Arabidopsis thaliana: one gene and its partner. The main gene of each other region encodes a partner of the protein of the gene in region 2 in a complex. Each region holds a gene or a part of one and is shown on either strand. Other genes may lie near its edges.

Region 1 (5,505 bases), on a different chromosome or scaffold from region 2:
GCTTGCTCTATTTTATCTGTGATAGAGGCAAAATACGGAGAAACCAGCTAAATGGTCTTGACATAAGGGTACGTTAGTATTACGAGGCTGAATATAATCTTTGCCCTCTGCTATGTGGATTATTCCTTCTTTAATTCTCCTCCTATTTTCATTTGGATCTGTCCTTTCTCTTTGTTTTTAGACCTTCGTAACTATGATTTCTGTTTCCAGCTGCATGTTACCATTTCTCAGCCAAGTTGTACTTGCTGATGAGCCAGTTACTTTCCTTGAATCAGGTTATAAAAGCTCTTCTGGGAACTAGCAAAAGGAATTCTTGGTCAGAAGTTGTTCATTCCAAGCTTATTTGTATCATGACGAATATGTTTTATCAATCTCCAGAACCAGAAGGCTCTAACAAAGCAATTTCAAGTGCCTCAAATTTTCTTATCGACCAGGTCGATCTGATTGGTGGTGTAGAATACATTTTCTTTGAGGTACTAAGAAAATATAGTTTATTAGACTGAATGATCTTTCTAAACATTATCCAAATAGACACTTCGATCCCCAATGGTTTTCTAGCATATTAAGGGATTCATTTTATTGGTACAGTACTCTTTGGCAACCACTAGAGAGGAAAGAAGAAATCTCTACTCGGTTTTATTTGACTATGTGCTGCATCAAATTAATGAGGCATGCTCATCTGCTGGTCTTTCTGAGTACACTGATGATGAGATTCAACCTTTGGCTGTTCGGCTTGCTCTTGCTGATGCACCTGAAGCTTTCTACATTTCTGTTAAGCTTGGTGTTGAAGGCATAGGAGAAATCCTGCGAAGATCAATTGCTGCAGCATTGTCTGGGTTCAGCAACAGCGAACGACTTAACCAGGTAGGTTTAAACTTGTAGAATATGTTGCAAATGATCTTCTGAGGATATCTGGAAAAAAAAACTTAAATTGCTTGTCAGTCAAAGCTCTTTTCCAACTCTTTAATTTTTCCTTCTTGCAGCTTTTGGCAAATATAACAGAAAAGTTTGACACAATAATAGGTTCGTTTACTCACCTGGACAAAGAGTTCCTGCATCTCAAACAGATTACCAAATCTTCCAAGTTCATGGAAAGCATTTTAGATTTAAGAAACGATATAAGCATGTCCGTGAATCTAGCTTGGGCTACTTTGCACTCTCTTCTTCATTCAGAAAGGACCACATACCGTCAAAATGGGTATATCTGGTTGGGGGATCTTCTGATTGCAGAAATTAGTGAAGAGAGCGGTGGAAGTATATGGCTGAGCATAAAAGATCTGCAACAAAAGATTGCCCATTGTGGTACCTCAGACTCTCTGGTTACTTCTGATGTACCTATTTCCATACATCTCCTATGTGGACTCTTGAAGTCAAGGAACAGTGTTATCAGATGGGGTTTCCTATTTATTCTGGAGAGGCTACTTATGCGCTCCAAGTTCTTACTAGACGAGAATGAGACCCAACGATCAACTGGTGGAGTTGCTACTCAGGACCATAAAGACAAACGACTAGAGAAAGCAAATGCTGTTATAGACATAATGAGCAGTGCTTTGTCTTTGATGGCACAAATAAATGAAACTGACCGGATTAACATCTTAAAGGTACATTCCTTAGAACCTTTCTGTTTGTCAAATATCCTACCAAAAGCCACTCTAAAGCTTGCTGATATATATAGTAACTGCTGTTCTATATGTCGAATAATTGGCGTAGAAGATAACTCTGTCTATACCTCTTATTGGAATTTTCACCCAGATGAAGTTAAATTTCACTTGTGTCTTTCTCTGTTGTTTCCAAGCAGATGTGTGACATTCTTTTCTCGCAATTGTGCTTGAAAGTTTTGTCTACTGACGAGGATGCAGTCCCCAATTCTGCGGATAGGAATAGCAAATTTGATACTTCTCATCGTAACAGCTATAAAGAAAGTGTGGATGAAGGTGACACCAAGCCTCGGTACAATAACGTCTCTGTTTCAACGTGTGAGACAGCGTCAATGGCAGCGATGCTTCTTCGTGGACAGGCCATTGTTCCTATGCAGCTGGTTGCGCGTGTGCCAGCAGCTTTGTTTTATTGGCCACTGATTCAACTAGCAGGTGCAGCAACTGACAACATTGCACTTGGTGTCGCCGTTGGAAGCAAAGGTAGAGGAAATATTCCAGGGGCAACCTCTGATATTCGAGCCACCCTGCTATTACTTCTGATTGGTAAATGCACCGCCGATACAGTTGCTTTTCAAGAAGTTGGCGGAGAGGAGTTCTTTAGGTAATTGATTGACTTTTCCATGCTTCCAAACCATAGATGATTTATGATTTATCTGTGCAACATGTTTCATGGCATTAACCTATGTTTATCTATGCAGGGAACTCCTGGATGATACTGATTCAAGGGTGGCTTATTACTCTTCAGCATTTCTTCTGAAGGCAAGAGGATTTTTCAAATTCACCATTTTGATTTTGGAAAGACATCATTGAAAGAATAATAAGTTTCCAAATATTTTTTGGCTCACCGGTTAAAATTTGGATTATTTCAGAGGATGATGACGGAGGAACCAGAGAAATACCAAAACATGCTTCAGAAGCTTGTCTTTAAGGCTCAGCAGGTATTGCTATCGTCATAATTCAGGGTGTAGATGCGTAGAACCGGAAATATCAAAGAGAACCTCAAAATCAAAGAGCTTTCTTTGTTTTGTTTCATGTATAATAATGATCCACATTGATTGTATTCTTGTTTTGTGCAGAGCAATAATGAGAAACTGCTAGAGAATCCATATCTGCAGATGTGTGGTATACTTCAGCTATCAAACGAGCTCTGAACTCGCGGCTCTCATAAGCCTCCAGTTTCTTATATATGGCTTATGTAAGTTCATCAGTTTCAGAGAATCTTAGAGAGTTACTTTAGCACCACCCTAATTATCCGCTTCCTGCCGTGAAAAGAGATGGAAGAGAATTTAGTGAAAGAAAATGACAATTCATAGAATACTGGACTCGTAGCTGAAAGTAGCAAGCAGGGGAGTCGGCAAGTCAAAATTCAGATATGGCTACGTGTGTGACATCACTTTGGCTATCTTGCACTCTTGTGATATTAAATCCTTCCTGAATTTTGGTTGAGATCTGAAGGTTCTGAAGAAAGGTGTTGATAGTAAAGAGTTGCCGAAGGGATCAACAGAAATGTGAAATAACTCGGTCCCGCCTTCTCCTTTTTCTGCGGGAATGGTGCGGCTTTAAGGAACTTACAGAAACAGTGGGTTGGTTTCTGATAATTGCCGGCATGTCATTTTTTGGGCTAACAAACTGAAGCTTTTTTTTCTCTTAGCTGTGTGTGTAAAACAAATCATGAACCTAGGCTGCAGCTCTAGAAATTTTATTTTTCTTGGAGCTCTGCTTTTGTACAGTCAGGAACAAAACCAATTAGGAGGATTGTGTTGTGTAGAGAACTAGAGATAGAGGCTTTGGGCCTTTTGGGTGTCGAATGTTTTGCTTTTAAAATGGTTATGTGATTAGTGTGACTGAACCTAACCGGTGCGTTTGTAATATAAATTCTTGTCATTATTTTGGCTGCCACTATCTGATCTGAGAAGCCACAAGGAGTTGAAGTTTACAGTTGTTAAAATCAATTTGACAAACAAAAAATCAAGAGAGAAACATACAATTACCAATTTGATCCACAGATAAATCAATTGTTAAAAAGTAATTAAATACTACTATTGGGCCAGGCCTGCAAAATAAAGACCCTCAGACATCGAAACCCTGAGAGTGAGATCCAATACTTGTTCTGTTCTGCAAATCGCTTCTGGTCCCTGGAGTCTGGAGATCTCATCCTTTCCCACCGATTCCGTCCCGATAAAACGGTAAATCTCGCTCAATTTTAAAACTATGTATATATATGCATTTCTTCTTGAGTGATCTTCTGATTCGACGACAAGTGTGTTTGATTTATGATCTGGTTAGTCTTAGACTCTTAGCTGTTCTTCTCGCGATAGAGATTGTCTCTGTGGCGGCCATCTGTGTGTGATGGTCCTTTGAATCCGTCTCTGTCGACGAGAACTGCCAAATTCTCTTGTCGGATTGTGTCACGTTTTAGGTTTTTACATAAATTCTCAACTTGTTCTCCAATGTGATCCCATAGCGGAGTGGATATCGCGTTAGACTCCGAATCTAAAGGTCGTGGGTTCGATTCCCACTGGGATCATCCCATTTTTTTGGTCTTTTTTTTTGTTGGTTATTAATTATTACTATCAATCCGTTCTTTTAGCAGTGATCAAGCGAATTTAGGTCTGGCTCTGCCTCTGGCTCTAGTTGAGTTTAGGGAGCTGCTCCTTGTTGTTTGCCATTATGGTTTCTCTACTTTGGAGTCAACTTTGCAATGTTACCCTTGTAGTCTCTTCTGTGGACTTTGTATTTGGTGAAATTGAAAAGTTTAGTAGAAATCTGGCTGCGCCAAAGATGATAGAGACTCTAATGGGATCCTTATTCGAACATTTTGCTGAACTGATTAGATACAATAAGGCAACACTGATTCCATTACTGTTAGTCTGTTACTACAAAAAGAATTGTTGCTCAAGTATTGTTTGTGTTGGTTGGTGCAGATGATCGATGATCAGGACTTGGGGTTTATTGCCAACTTTCTTGGCATCTTCATCTTCGCATTGGTAATTGCTTATCACTACGTAACTGCTGATCCCAAATACGAAGCCACTTGAGTGATGATATTTTAGAATGATGTAAGGCTTTTTAGTTTATACTAGTATTATCTGTGTTTCAAACTGAGAAGAGATAATAACAGTCTTTGTTGAGATGATAATGTTTTCAAGATGTTCCTAATCCATTTCACATCTTCTCAATTTTATATGCATGTGCATATATATGTTCCCTCCAATTATGTTGTTCGAATGTTTGATGAAACTTTGAATTTTTTTCTTTAAGCAAAAAAAAATCTCAAACACCAAAGCGAGGAGTCATTCTAGTTCAGTTTTGAGTCATTCTAGTTATTTTTACAAAGTTTTGAGTCAAATTGGGTAAATTTTTTGGTTATTTTGGTCATAAAAATAACTAGATTATCTCTTATATCTTATGAGTTAATTTGGTAAATAAACCATTTATTTGGGTCAAACTATTTTTTTCCCCATATATATATCCAATCAATAATAAATTCATAATATATTTCATTAACGCGATTGAAATACTAGTAATTAATTGAGGACTAAAGAAAAAGTAATTTCCTTTTTATCTTTAAAATGTGCAAAAAAAACAAAAATGTTAATTGGGTGATGAAATAACTTGTTTTCAAAACGGGAGTTACTATTTGACAATTTAAAAAAGACCCATCTCGAAGGAGCTAGAAGCGATAACAAAATAAAAAGGAAACAATAGTAATTAGATGGCGCAAAAATAAGATCCAACGGCTGAGATCTTTACTCGTGAACGTTCTCGAAAGCTCTTTGCCGACCCACTCTTCATTCATATATAAACAAACACCTCTCTGCCTTCTCTTCCTCACACAATCATAAAC
Region 2 (7,228 bases):
GCATTTATCATACAAAATATGAAACCCTATTTTACAATCTATTCATGTGAACGACATCAAGCAACTATGTTGGTAATATCAAAATCTTGATTTCTTTTTCCGGTAAAGATATTAATTTATGCAATGACCATATCGACTCCTTGATCGGAAGCTGAAAGTCCGGTGCCTCTACCTTGAAGCTGAAGACAACCAGATTGGCATGCAGGTTCGCAAATGTCTTGCGTGGCTTCGATCACTTTCATGCATATTGGCATACATTCTCTGTGGCATAGCGGCAATACTTTCTTTCCTAGTAGTGCTTCTTGTCCTACTACGATATCCGACCATGTCAATAACGTAATTATCATCAAACTCAGGGTGGCTAAGTTTTTGCTCCGGTTCTTCATATTGTAGTTCGTGAGAAGTTGATCAGGAAAAGGGAGAGAGAGAAAAATGGTTTCGTGGAAGAGAAGGAAATGTTTTTGAGTAAAAGAGAATGGTCAAGAGTCAAAAGATAGTAGTAGCCTCATATTTGTTCGATTTTTTCGTCAATTTTCACTATTTTTAAAATACACAGAGATATCCCTATTTTTAATAACTATTGAGTGGACGAGATTATATGAGAGCAGAGAAAAGTCTTATTCGGCTTTTTTTAAAAAAGTGGATCATGTGAATCTACGTTCACTAATAGTCTTATATTGTATGGATTTTTCCAATCTATAATTGCCGAATGTTTTTCAATAACTCGAAACTTGTTTACATATATGAAAATAACAGAAAAAGTCAATATGTTTTACTAGTCAAGATAAACGATAGATTTTCATAAAATATTTGACTACATTATCAGTTGGATTTCGGCGTATAAGAGAGATCAATCGATTACAAACATTAAAGTTATAATAAGTTCAACCATAGTTGAGCCGAAACATCTCATTTTGGACGAAGAAACTTCCTTGCAGAACCGGAATCAAGTGAAACGTCTGCAATTAATAAATAATGTTATTATTCAAGTCAGCTAAAAATCCAACAAAAATAAAATAATACAGGCTCATACTATATAGCTTATAGTTTGATTCATATAATTTAGTAACAACATTAAAAATTGAAGATTGTTATAGCGGGGGTCCAAGATAAACCGATGGAAACTAGAAAACAATGAAAATAACATTTTGTTTTATGCAAATCGATTAAGCTAAACCTAAGATTGTTTTAACCAAATGAAACCTTCGAATCGATTACAAATAGATAAGAGATAGACCTGGCTAAACCTAAGAGGATGATCCTCTCCATGTAATTGGATGCTACCGCTCACAAAAACTAGGATTCCACCACATCCACCGGCCATTGAAGACGGCTGAGAATCGACGGTGCTGATCAAATGATGGCATTGATCGAACGGAAGTTGTTTAAGCTTATTGGAGATGTTATCCACGCCGTAGATCGTTTGGCCTTCAAAAGTGAGCAAAGAGGTGGGATTGTAGAGAGAAGAAAGCGATGATCGATCGTTGTCAAAGAGATGGTAGTAGTGATTCACAAAAGCACTTGCCACTTCTTCTTCAATTCCTTTATTTGTCTCTGCCATAGTCAAAATTTCCAAAATAAAATTGATTTTCTTAGCAAAACCAAACAGTAGTAATATTAACATGAGCTCTCTTAAGTAATTAAATTCTAGGGTGTGAAGGAATTAGATGCTTAACTTTAAACAAAGCTGGAAGAAAAGAACAAAGAGAGAATCTTTTCACTTTTAAGAAGGTTTCTTGTGGGTCAAGTATTGCATACAATCTTTTTCCAAACCTTCACACATAGTAAAGCAACGATTATTTGGTAGAGTACTCTTTCTCAATGGATGCAAAGCAACACCATAAGCATTATAAGTCTTCGAGCAATCATTCCTCTAGTTAGCACAAATTCGTGAATCCTAAACTGCAATTATTGAATCTTTAAACTATAAACTTGGCTATATGCATGTTCAAGTATTGAAAGCCAAAACACTAACTAATCAGTTCCACAATCTTGAAAAACTAACCTTACGTGAAGATCACTCATCCCCGCCAACTCGATGGCCAATATGGGTAAATTTCATAACCAGTCTTCCAATTATCCAAGTAAACAACTTTCCTCACAGCCCAAAACGATATAGACAGAGCCAAAAGCATAGCCATCCTTTGCTCATCGAGTTTCTTGACTCGTACAACTACATTAGTAACAAACGCCAAAAGCAATCCAACAACAGTATACAAAAACCCTACAAAGAAACCTTCTGCTCCAAGCTGCATCTCTGATTCTTCTATAAAGAAAACAAACTTACTTGAATCTTCATAATCTTTGATATACATTGGCATTTCTCTAATGATGTTATGCATTGTCCCCGAGACGCTGAAGAAGTAGACGAAAACCGCGCCAACTAACCAGATTCTATGGTCATGGAGAAGTGTTTCTCCTTTTAGAATCTTCTTGATGAGAATCGGAGTCGAGATTATGATTATAGCAACGATGATTCCGATTTGTGTCTTTGATATGAGTGGTGGTCGTTGGATTGAACAAACGGTGAGTTTTGTTTGACGTTCGACGAACTCTGCCATTGATTCGGCTAATCCAGTGAAATCTCCACCGTCCATTTGATCTGATTCTGTTAAATTCTCTGTCGTGGGGCTAACGAGGGAAATGTGTGGTAGTGACTCGACGGCGAAGCGGCGGAAAGAAGCCTCGGAGTGAGTTGATTCGATCTCGCAGAAGAAGAGCTTTGTGCCGTTAGATTCATTGTTGTTGTTGGTGATGAAAGTGGCGGAGACGAGTCTGAATTCGCGGCGGAACTCTGGAAGACGTAGCTGGCTATTGCCGTGGAGATGAACGGCGTCGAAGAAGATGATGAGTGAGTAAGGTCTAGGAGTGGATACGGAGGTTATGAATTTGGAAACGTCGTCGTTGTTGAAGGAGATCACGCCTGATTCGGCGGTTGATCGGAGGGAGACTAGTTCGTTTTTGAGATCTGAATCTGATTTTGGATTCGCTAGGGTAAATAAAAACACAATTAAGATGAAGAAACGATATGAGAGATTCGTTTGAATCACCATTTTTAGATCACTCTCTGATTGGATTTGAAGAAGAAAGGAGATAGAGAGATCTGGAATTGCCGGGAAATACTGGAGAAGTGAAGAACTGTTCAAAATTCTAGGTGTTTATAGGTTTGATTGAACCTTCTTGATGAGTTAGAGGGTTTAGTTTTAAAGAAGGGAAAAAAAGGAAAAGAAATTGACAGCTGTGGGATTTGAACCCACGCCCTTTCGGACCAGAGCCTAAATCTGGCGCCTTAGACCACTCGGCCAAACTGTCTTGTTGTATGATATGTGAAACTTAAACATTCTATAATTAACAATAAAATTGATGATCACTTCTGGTTTCTCTTATTAGGACCGACATGCCGACAAGTTGAGATTCTTTTACAGGAAACATATGAGAAACCACTTAGTAATACAAAAAAGAGAGACTCATACATGGATTAGAGAGTTTACATAAAACTAGACCATGCATATTTATTTCATCGCTCGTAAATCATTTAAATGGTATTATTAATGTATAAGAAATCATTTTTGTCATTATCATAATCTTAATACTACTCTATTATAGTCTAAAGTAACAAGGTCGAGTTGCATATACTTGTGGTATTATATAAACCTCAGTCTACAATCTTAGATCTGAAACATTCATATCCATACAAAAAATAGTAATTATGTAAAAATGTAAGAATACCGGATTATGCAAGAGACAATCCAATAAACTAATCTTTGTCAACCTAATAATTTAGTAACTCCAGGTGTATTATTTCCCTGCTTTCTTATTCATAACGTGCTTGTTTCACGTGCCTTGTCTTGGGCTAACAAAATATGAGAGAGGCAAGGCAAACTCTTTCTTTTGTTGAACAAAATATTATGTTCCGAAGCATGTTCGCCTATATTATTTGGGTTTTGTTAGACATATTCCCATATCAGATTTACTAAGTGAAGATTAACCAAAGAATTAAAGTACAGAGTTAAATAATGTTTTTGGTTTTGCTTTTACATGAACATTTCTATGGATCCCACTTCCACTTGGTGGCAGCCTGGAGATCCAATTCTCCATGTTCTGCTGTTGTTTTCTATATTTCCTATAGTACCCTTGCTAGCTCATCAATATGGTTCAAATGACCTATCTCAGCAACTTAATGAATAAACCGGTCGGCTTTTAATTAGCTAAACCGTGTGTATTATAACCAAACAGTTTACACTTGATTAACATAAAAATCATTGAGTTTTACTGTTAGTTTTCTTTAATTAAACTTTTTCATTTACCCTTTTTGCTTTCTTTTACAAATTATCGTAAACATCATTATTACATGAAAATCTTAGAAAAAAAACCGTATCAAAAGTCTAAACGCAATAGCATATTAAAAGAATTATTAATGGTCAAAACAGTCATTTCCCCGGTCTTTATAATAAAAGCAAGAAAGCTCTATACTCTTCTCACTCACGGAACAAGTGTAGATTGCATTACCTCTCTCTCTCTCTCTCTTCGAAATATTCGAAGTAGAGACAACCAATGGAGACGGAAAGGAGGATCATAACGAGCTGTTCTGCCATGACGGCTCTGTTCTTGTTCATGACGGCTCTAATGGCGTCGTCCTCTATCGCAGCAACACCGACACAATCGTTTGAAGATAATTTCAACATTATGTGGTCTGAAAATCACTTCACGACTTCCGATGATGGAGAGATCTGGAATCTTTCCTTAGATAACGACACCGGTACGTTCAAATCCAGTTTGCTTCCGGTTTAGGATCAATGCCGTTCTAGTCTTTCGAAATTACACTGATACTTACTCTGTTCCTACTTAAATCTACATGACATTTTTTAACTTAGTCTCTTGATTATTATATCGAAAGTTTAAATATTCTGATTGGATAAAAAATAAAACAGGATGTGGATTTCAGACAAAGCACATGTATAGATTCGGATGGTTTAGTATGAAGCTAAAGCTCGTCGGAGGCGACTCCGCCGGCGTCGTCACCGCTTACTACGTGAGCCGTCGTTCTTATTTAATGTTTCAATTTTGTAAAGAAGATAACCAATGATTTTGTTTTGTATTAATTATTTTAGATTAAATTTGGTTGAGCAGATGTGTTCGGAGAATGGGGCAGGACCGGAGAGAGACGAGATAGATTTCGAATTTCTAGGGAACCGAACCGGACAGCCTTACATTATTCAGACCAATGTGTATAAGAACGGAACCGGGAATCGGGAGATGCGACATTCCCTCTGGTTCGACCCGACCAAGGATTATCACACCTACTCAATTCTTTGGAATAACCACCAGCTTGTGTAAGTCCTCTCTTGATCTTGGCTAATGGTTAGTTGGCTACATATATAGAGATACCACGAACTGTACCGGGAATTTTGGGTAGAAACCGGAACCTTAGGTTTATGATCGGTTCGAAGTTAGAACCAACATTCCACTCACAATAACATAATTCAGTTTACAGATTAATTTCACAATAGGTTCAATCCTGTTTTCTTACGTTTAGCTTTGAGAAAACTTAAATGGTGCAGATTCAAATTTCGACCGACACAAAAATTCCAATCTGGTTTAAAGTTCAAACCGACCAAAGCAAGCCTATCTTAACCAAACTTTAAAGAACTCAAACTAGACCAACTCGAACCGAATTGGTCAATCAAAGCTAATTTTATCGATTGGTACAATGCATAACCCGGTTTAATCCAATCCAAACCAGGTTCTTCGTGGATAGGGTACCAATTCGAGTATACAAGAACAGTGATAAGGTACCAAACAACGACTTCTTCCCGAACCAGAAGCCGATGTACTTGTTCTCCAGCATTTGGAACGCTGACGATTGGGCTACACGTGGTGGTCTGGAGAAGACTGACTGGAAAAAAGCTCCATTCGTCTCTTCTTACAAGGACTTCGCCGTCGAAGGCTGCCGTTGGAAGGATCCATTCCCTGCATGCGTCTCTACCACAACAGAGAATTGGTGGGATCAGTACGACGCGTGGCATTTGTCCAAGACACAGAAGATGGATTATGCGTGGGTGCAGCGTAATCTCGTCGTATACGATTATTGCAAAGACAGTGAGAGGTTCCCTACTCTTCCTTGGGAGTGTTCCATTAGCCCTTGGGCTTAAAATCAATTTTGTTTTGAGTGTATTAAAGTGGAAATGGTTTATGTAATAATTTTACTCTCTTTTTTTTGGCATTTCTTATTTTGTTATGGACTATATCCTCTGTTTATTTATTTAATTAATTATTTATTTAGTCGGCTATATTTCATAACTGCTTTTTAAGATGTATATTAACTTGAGAATTCTTCTTACACTTAAGGTCTCAGAACAGAACAGTGGGTCAAAAATATAAACGAACATGGATGAGCATAAGAGTAAAGACATGTGACAAACAAAAGGTTCAGCTACAGCTACTAATGAAGCCCAAATACCTTATTGAAAAGAAATAGCATTTGTGATTGTGATATTATAAGAGAGCATATCCAGAAACTTTTGTCCGATTTACCATTCGATAACATCAATGACAATCGTCCATCGATCGTTGTAGTAGTAGCATCTCTAGAAGAACCCACAACTTTTGATTTCTTTGAAGAAATCAACGGAAGTGGGTTACATTACATCACAATCGTGAGGATAGGCCTAGGATTAGCGATTTACCGTTTTTTAATGTACATTTCTTCTATAAACACTATCTTCTAATAAATAGTCCAAGTTTGCTAAATATGCCAAGTTGGACATGTGTTATGTCCGGATTCATTCCGATATTAAAAGTCAACCTTTTACGTGCCAAGTGATGAACACTATTTATCGCATTTTTAATTTGAAAAACAATTCATTTTTGATTGACAATTTTGAATTTCTTGCATTTTATTACGATTGCCTCACTTTTGGGTATAAAAATAATAATATGACATACTGGTGGGATAAAATAAATAGTACGTTTTCTTACACACTATAAATTAAATATGTTCGTAAACTTACTTTGAACCACAATGTCAACTAAGCTTGCTAACATCATTTTTCCTCTAGAACTTGTCTCCCATATATGTTTCTAGCCCATTTCTCGTCTTGATAGTCAAAGGACATTTACACATAGCACAAGTATTTCTTTCCAAACTTGTATGCAAATATTCAAACTTTTCTCCCTTTCTCTTAATTAATTTCCAAAAATTGATATGTAAAAGAAAGACAAATATAAC

Evidence for each region. The genes of interacting proteins can lie anywhere in the genome.
Region 1: AT1G11560 (region 2) and AT3G12587 share a complex: the UniProt entries of both Arabidopsis thaliana proteins name them as parts of the oligosaccharyltransferase (OST) complex.

The regions. Positions count from the first base shown.
Region 1 is NC_003074.8:3,993,777-3,999,281, reverse strand, and holds AT3G12587 (Oligosaccaryltransferase), read left to right. Parts: upstream 1-3,610; 5' UTR 3,611-3,844; intron 3,845-4,112; exon of another isoform or gene 4,113-4,185; intron 4,186-4,582; coding exon 4,583-4,696; 3' UTR 4,697-4,942; downstream 4,943-5,505. Other genes in the region: AT3G12590 (uncharacterized protein), read left to right, coding at 1-68, 276-473, 589-864, 984-1,601, 1,799-2,259, 2,357-2,417, 2,528-2,596, 2,735-2,809. UniProt on the Arabidopsis thaliana protein: Subunit of the oligosaccharyl transferase (OST) complex that catalyzes the initial transfer of a defined glycan (Glc(3)Man(9)GlcNAc(2) in eukaryotes) from the lipid carrier dolichol-pyrophosphate to an asparagine residue within an Asn-X-Ser/Thr consensus motif in nascent polypeptide chains, the first step in protein N-glycosylation.
Region 2 is NC_003070.9:3,877,613-3,884,840, reverse strand, and holds AT1G11560 (Oligosaccharyltransferase complex/magnesium transporter family protein), read right to left. Parts: upstream 3,215-7,228; 5' UTR 3,054-3,214; coding exon 2,022-3,053; downstream 1-2,021. Other genes in the region: AT1G11572 (Plant thionin family protein), read right to left, coding at 117-386; NTL (NTF2-like protein), read right to left, coding at 885-959, 1,238-1,624; XTH8 (xyloglucan endotransglucosylase/hydrolase 8), read left to right, coding at 4,555-4,759, 4,932-5,032, 5,131-5,333, 5,744-6,152. UniProt on the Arabidopsis thaliana protein: Subunit of the oligosaccharyl transferase (OST) complex that catalyzes the initial transfer of a defined glycan (Glc(3)Man(9)GlcNAc(2) in eukaryotes) from the lipid carrier dolichol-pyrophosphate to an asparagine residue within an Asn-X-Ser/Thr consensus motif in nascent polypeptide chains, the first step in protein N-glycosylation.